2 linked regions of the Lepisosteus oculatus genome follow. The protein of the gene in region 1 interacts with the protein of each later gene in a biochemical or structural test. Links are inferred from orthologs where the notes say so. Each region holds a gene or a part of one and is shown on either strand. Other genes may lie near its edges.

What was found.
Region 2: the proteins of pdzd2 (region 1) and ctnnd2a form a complex in vitro, tested with the Homo sapiens proteins (2 studies listed by BioGRID and IntAct, with this or other methods). The link is inferred for Lepisosteus oculatus from reciprocal best matches to the Homo sapiens genes PDZD2 and CTNND2.

What each region holds. Positions count from the first base shown.
Region 1 is NC_090698.1:39,802,994-39,806,749, forward strand, and holds the start of pdzd2 (PDZ domain-containing protein 2), read right to left. Parts: upstream 2,984-3,756; 5' UTR 2,175-2,983; intron 1-2,174.
Region 2 is NC_090701.1:1,140,296-1,144,051, reverse strand, and holds the start of ctnnd2a (catenin delta-2), read left to right. Parts: upstream 1-1,390; 5' UTR 1,391-1,864; intron 1,865-3,756. UniProt on the Homo sapiens protein: Has a critical role in neuronal development, particularly in the formation and/or maintenance of dendritic spines and synapses. Involved in the regulation of Wnt signaling.

The sequences.
Region 1 (3,756 bases):
GTTGTCTTCTGAGAAAACTGGTGCTGGTGTGAGCTCTTATGTGTTATTGTCTGTCTGCCCTGCAATGGACTGGTGTCCTGTCCAGGGTGTACCCTGCCTTGTACCCTCTGCTCGCCTGTATGGGCTCCGGCTCCCCTGAGACCCTGAATTGGAAGAAGCAGTTAGAATATGGATGGATATAACAAGTCCATAGTAGGATGTCCAGATTTTGTGGGACTTCCTCACCTTTTGCATAATATTAAAGTGCAGAGAGATAAGACCAGTACATAATAATAGTAAACTCTGAGTAAGACATTTTATTAAAGATGCGTGTTTAAAGTCTTTCCAGGTTTTTAAAAATATAAGAAATGTAAAAGTATTTATCTATCCTTAATAGACCATATAAATACAAACTATACTATCATGCTCACAGTAATTTCAGACCTCCTCTCAATTCTGATCTAATATATATATAATAGATAAGATTACTTTACAGTATGTTTTTTCAATTATTTACCCCTTTAAGGAACAAGCAGTTGGGGATGAATTTATGCTTATGTTTTATATAATTATACTAATTGGGAATGTATTTTAGTGGTTTGGACACATTTTAGAGTTCTATTGTTAAAAAGAGTATGTAATATAAACATACAAGGTTTAAGCATTATCTAACAGTTGTCAAGTAAACTAATCAATTATGATGTTCCAGTATGACCCTACCATGACTCATCTTTGATTTTCCAACTGTACCAACCTCATCCTCAAGGCTCTGGTGTTGACTTAGGCCCTGTAGGGACAGATATTTAATTTGATCTGTTTGGGCCAAAAGCATGTTGAAGGGTAAAGGAAATGATGGAAGTGAGCTGTCTAGCTCTTAACATTTGTCATTTAATTTACAGTCTCATGCTAGCAAAAGCTGAAAAGTCTTCTCCGCCCAGTAAAGTATCCATGTGTCAAGTTTTTCCATTGGTACACTGGAAATCTGGAGCAGAATAACAAACTTCTTTTGGTACTGAGGGACTTAACCTATCCACTACCACAGTAGTGAAATACTTAATGCGTTTTCCTCAGCATTGCAGAGCCAATTCTATCATATCATAGTCCTATCATATCCCAAAAGAAGTGTGTTGGTCGAGGTGTTAGCAAATCTAATATAATATTACGTTTAGGTCCTACTTAAATAAGCAACGTACTTCTCACTGGATGTAGTACTTCAAAGAAAAGACTCGAAATACATGTACAGCACAACCGTCCACAGTTCACCATTCATTTTAACTTTATATTAATGGATTTAGGATGGGAAACGAAACGCGCCTCAACACTGTTAGTGGTCCATATAACTGGAGAATTGTGCTCGTATCTATTTGCATTCACAGTTTTCCACAAAACGAAAGCATGAAAATTCAGTTAACTGTCTAAGTGTCAAAAAATGGTTTTGAACAGTCTTTTCGAAACCGATCTAAAAAAAGAAAATGTTGAATGTTACCCAGTACCGAGAAAATGGAAAGAAATGCCACCTCTTCAGTGTGTCATAACCATATGGAGTTCACAGGATATATTAAAACGTTTTTCCAATAAACTTTTCTGGAGCTGTGATCTAATGCAATTGGTTTATGACTGCGTGAGGGGGTATTTTCTAACAAAAAACGAGGACTATTTAGAATTATTAGACAGCTGGTAAAATTGATTCAAAGGAAAGGAGTTGCTATTGAAAATGTTTTAAATAGTCGGAAGCACCACCTAAAGCCGCAATGGTTTTGATATTTTAAGCTCAGAATCTGAACTGTTAAATTATCATCTGTACATCTGTCACCAATTACCACCCAAACGGTAGTCTCAACTGCTTACGTTTATACAGTACATGTTGTTACATTGTTAAACAAAGATCGAACGCTCGAACAATGAATGCTACTCTTATCTCGAACTTTGTTTAAAATGTCAAATACCCCGAATACTACAAGAATATTATTCTGTATGTAATATGGGATTTCAACTTAATCTGAACAAATCATTCTGTTTAATTCTACTTTGATGTAGGAAATTAGCAGTCTCCTTTCTTGGATGTCCCTTACCGAAACAAAACTACGCCAGACCTTCTACAGAAATTTGATATTTCTATAGAAACATTTAGGTTATTGTTTTCTAAAGGATCTAGTATATATAATTTGCTAGTATTTTAAGAGTAGCTGACTTACCTTTAGCATGTGCTGGATGCTATTTGTATTTTCCCCATTGATAATCTGGGTCGACAAAGCAGACCACCTAGTCATCAGGGTTATATATTACTGCATCATTTCTATATTCCATTCGGAAATGATTTATTCCTTCTATGTAGACGTTCCCTGACATCCCCCGAAGCAATCCAGGACGATAATCCACTGTGGCTGCTAAATTATTTTCTTTTCAAGAAAAGTTGTTTCCCAGGTTCAGGACAGTTTTGTATTATTAAATTGACATGCTTCTTTGTTCTCTCCGATGAATAATAATGTGAAGATCTGAACAAAACATTCCTGGAAAGGGTTTTGTGTGTTTTTGCACACAAATTATATACATATCATTGTATGTACAGTACATTTTCCCCACTTCATTGAAACTAAAGCACTGAGATCAAACAATGCGATTGATACAGAGATAGGATAATTATCCCCAGAAGTACTTTATTTCAGGGTTTGAATAAAGAACTGTTGCTTCCTTCACTTTCTAAATTCTTACTCTGCTATTTAACTTTAAAATGTAAAAGAAATATCGAGTGGAAAAACACATGCCCACTACTTTTCTGATCAAAAAACTAATTTTACGGTGCAAGAATGAACAAACTACTGCCCTTCAAGAGGTTTAAATCTTCTATTTCGAGATTCAGACCAATCGCTAATCACCTGGACACTATGGCTTGAATTTCAGTACTTTGCTTCCAAGTGCGGCTTCGTTAGAGAAGAAAAACGGGGGGAAAAACTCCGAATCTAGTCATTTTCAAAGAAGCTCTTCTATTCCTGACAGAAGTTAGGCGCACCAGTTTTCCTCTTCTAAATCTAGCAGCGCTGTTAGATTTGGGAGGAGTCTTCACTTTTGATTTATGACAATTGTGACCAATCGGCAATCGATATTAAAAAGAAGGCAGTGATGATACAAGTCCTCAAAGCCAATAGGATGTGAGAAAAAAGAAAAAAACACACAAGAAAGTTAACATTATAAAATGTTGTAGCTGAATATAATGAGAGTTGTGTTATAGAGGGCTTAGTGTTTTATTCACCCTGATTTAAACATCAGGAATGTATCTGATTAACTTCGCAGTTGTTGTATTCTAGTACAAGTGGCAGATGCGTTTGTGCTTGATTGAGAATCCAGCGTCTCAAAGCTGTTCGAGATTTTGAATTAAAGCTCTGAATCGTAGGGATATTGTTATACAAACAATATACAGTATGTCTCTCACAAACGTTATTATTGGAAGCCAAATGTCTGAGTGCAAATCATCAATCAAAAGTTGTTTTCATGTGAACACGGGGTTCCGATATAGATTCCGAATAAGCATAATCTTTTGAATATTTCCGGATGAATGGAAGAAAGAGTATATGTACAGTACATGAATGTAGTATGCTATCAATTAATAACAAATCATCCCTGATGTACACTGCATTCTTAAGGCTTTATAAAAGTGCTTTTTGGAATTTATCCTTGTATTTTGGTTTTTGAGATCGCATCTTTTTTCAGTGTGTTAGTAAGCTGAACGAAGGTGAACCTTTCAGAAGCAGTCTTGATCTGAGGAGAGGGCTCAAAACG
Region 2 (3,756 bases), on another chromosome or scaffold:
TAGACATCTTCACTTTCAGACATTTAAATCTGCTCTGGCTCACCTGTAGAATGATGTTTCAAATGGTGTATCAAGATGACTATTTTACGACCGAATTGTTCCCTGTTTCACAAGATTTCTAGGTTTTAGTTCTGACCCCTGGCTCCGTCTCTGACTTTGTCTTCTGGATCTTGACTTGATTATTGTGGATTTACTGTTTTTTTACCCTGGCCTGACATCCTGAACCACATTTTGGGATACACTCCTGCTGGTACTTCTGAGTTCAGAGGATTTTCCCTAGGGTCTTCTGCATTGTAACAAAGCCAGAGGTCAGAGCCAAAAACTTAGAAATCTTGTGAAACAGGGAACAATGCAACTCCAGCTGAGTAAACCCCAATACTGAGCAAGGAGTGGTGTGTCAGGCTGGTTTAAGCAGGCAGGTGGAAGAAGGTGTGTCTGATTAGTTCATTGGAAACTGCACTGGAATGTGTAGGAGTTGATTAAGGGTGGTTAGTTCTCTTGTATGCTGTGATGGACTGGTGTCCTGTCCAGGGTGTGTCCTGCTTTGCACCCTGTGCTTGCTTGATTAGGCTCTGTCTCGCCATGACCATGTTTAAGGATAAAGTGACTCCTGAACATGGATGGGTGTTTGTAACACTGGAACAGAGTTAAAACAGAGGCAGCTGAAACACAAGATGGGGGAAGTAAATGGTGTTATGAAACTGCTAGGAATACCTTTGTAAATATGCCTGAGTCATTAATGAACCACATCAAAAAATCCTGCGAAGAAGCAGCTGCACAATTCATTTGTAGCTCGTGTGTTTGAAATGTGATTAAACATTTCTTACAGTCTGAATATATACTGTAGTTTGCTGTTTTAGCTTCAACTATGTCGGTATGCTAAGCAACAACAAAGTAAAATCTGATTCAGCTGGTTAGAAAACATTTGTGTGTTGTTCAGTCTTAAAAAGAGAAACAAATAATACAACAGGCCTACAAACAAACGTTTTAACTTGTCACCTTGAAATGTACATTTATGTAAGCATGTATTAATTCCAGCCTTTTAAGCAATCAAAAGTAGAAGATTTTAATGTACAAACATGTTAAAAACAGGCGTTAGACGGTATAGACATTCTACTTTTTTGTGTATATGTAAACACAACATCAACATCACGCTTGAAAATTAACTACAGATTGGGGCGATATCAAGAGGTGTACAGATTACAAATATACTTTCGTGGGCAGTGTTAATTCTAAAAATGCTTTCCTTAACAATACGCATTATTTTTTATCTTCGTTTTAACCTGTAAGATGATGAGGTCGAACTCCAGCGAATCACAGAAAGCTGCCTAGCCACAAAAAAATAAATCCCTGTGGCGCGAGGGGAGGGTTCCGTCTAAATGCCCACAACAAGTAATTATCCGTGATAGGTCTCGGTTTGCGCTACGGACAGGTCAGGACTGAGCCAGAACCTTAAGACGGATCGCTGTCCATCAGGCGTGGGATGAGAGCGGAGCCGGAGGCACGCTTTCCGTTCGCGTCCAGCAGATGGCGCTATGTGCGCTCTAGCGGGTATCGCAGAGTGGGCTCGGTGGTGAGATGCTGTGTCTGGGAGCGGGTTGGTGGAGACCGGAGCGGAGTACCAGCGATGCTGCCTCTCTGTAGCTGCTGCGCACCGCAGTGATCCGGTCTCGCTTTCGTACAGCTGTTTTGATCCGCCGCTCGGCGGATGCTCCTTCTTCCTGTCTCGGCCAGCATCCAGCAAATGGTCCATTTCTGCACCGCGGCAGGGTATGAGAGCACAATCCATCACTGATTGAATTTTTGGACAAGAAAGCGGGAGAGGAGTCGAGAAGAAGCGCTGTTCCAAAAAGGATAATATTTGGTAAGTGCAATGTCATTCCAGTGGCTTTTTTTCCCTTCTCCCCCATTAACCCTGCATGATGTACAAAACCACAAGATGCAATTGTCTTTGAAATGGAGAAAACGCAACAGCGCCAGCTTTCGCGCGTCTGCTTATCCGAAAGCATTTTTCTCCCCTTTTTGCGGGTTTTGAATTGACGTGCATTTTTACGGTTCAGCTGTCTCAGAAAACCGTGTTTGGTCGCACAAATAGCACAGGTAACATGTCTGAATGCTGACTGGAACAGAAGCCCGTTGATGTCGCTATGCCCTCCTAGTCGGGCTTCTTAGTGTAGCGGATAGCTTAATACTTTCCTGCCTAGTGACCTAAATTTCGAATCAATGGTGGATTTTATAAGCCAGTGCCTTACTGTGTAACACGAACGACTATTGTTCCTGAGCAAAGCGTCTTGGCTTCTAAAAATAGGAGCGTCGTTTGATAAAGGTGAATGGAAACGCGGTTTATTCGGGAACTATATAATTAATGACTGAGAAAGAAGCATCTCCCATCATTCTGAAATGCTTTTGCCTTTCCATCCAGTAAGGAGAAGCAGGCGTATTATAAAGACACTGCTTCTTGTTATCTCAAGATGGACATAGTTTTGCTTTTCTGTCGCTGTGTATTCAAAGACGCACAATACACAACAATTGCAGTATTAAACACATTGCCTGCATGAGGGTAACGCAATTATTGGCATTAAAAGTGTGGGTGAGATAATGTTGTAGATCTACCTCCCGGATGCCAAATGGACGTCCTTACTGCAATACAACCATATTACAATTATTATATAATAGAAAATGTTTTGTTGGTGTTGGTTGTATCGTTTTTAGAGCAAATACAAAATATCCGTCTATTAGTTGTTTTAGTTATTAATTATCAGACGATATGCTGTTGAGGTTAGCGGCAGAAATGCTACCGTTCCAGGATTTATAATATTCCTTGATTTGCATCTGGAGCAATATTTCGTTGTAACGGTTCCACGGTATTTTGACAGTTAGATAAAGAACTTCATAAAATATTTAAAATATTAATATTTCGTTCACCGTTCATTTCCCGTTTCGATTATTTTCAACAAATACTTTGAAGCGAAAATTTTCTTTGCATTTATTTTTGAAACACTTCATATAGAAATACAGTACATGGTCAATTCTCCCTGCAAAATGTTGCACGCCTCAAAGTGACGTTTTTCAAAGTGAAGTTTACAGTTTATTTAAAGGATGAATGAAATAACCAGTTTAAAGGGATTTTGACACCATAGCATGTATTAAGAATTTCAGTAAAAAAAAGTATTTGGAAATTTTGCGCTTTCTCTGAAAATACAGTATGTAGTTCTTATGGTTTCAATCTCTTGAAATGCGTTTCAATAGCGAAGTAATATGACCGCCCGTAATCTCTAATAAAACGAATTATTGCTGGAAACATTGAAACAGGCTGGATCATATACAGTATATTTGTATATTAAATAAAACAACAATTAGGCTTGACATTTTCAGTCCAAGGATAGATTTCTAGATATTGTTTTTTTAACTGATGGTATTGTACAGTACATTGGCTTCTTTACAGACGGGATTGCAAAAATAATAAAAAAAAAACACCTTTCACGATGTGGGGGACTTACAGATATCATCACCTAGAGAAATATGGGGAGATGCTCCTCTAAAAGAGTGGGTCTCAGGGCTGCTTAACCACAAGTGTCAGTGTTTGTGGACCTGAACCAGCCTTTAAAAAAGGTTGGTTTTTTAAGTCAGTTTTTACAAGGGCGTCTTGCCTGTATTAGTCGCGATGGCAGTGAATCTCTGGATGTGTGCTGATCGGCTGTAACACAGAGTGCTGGAGACGTGCCTGGCAGAGGCGGCTAGGCTCAGGTCTGTCTG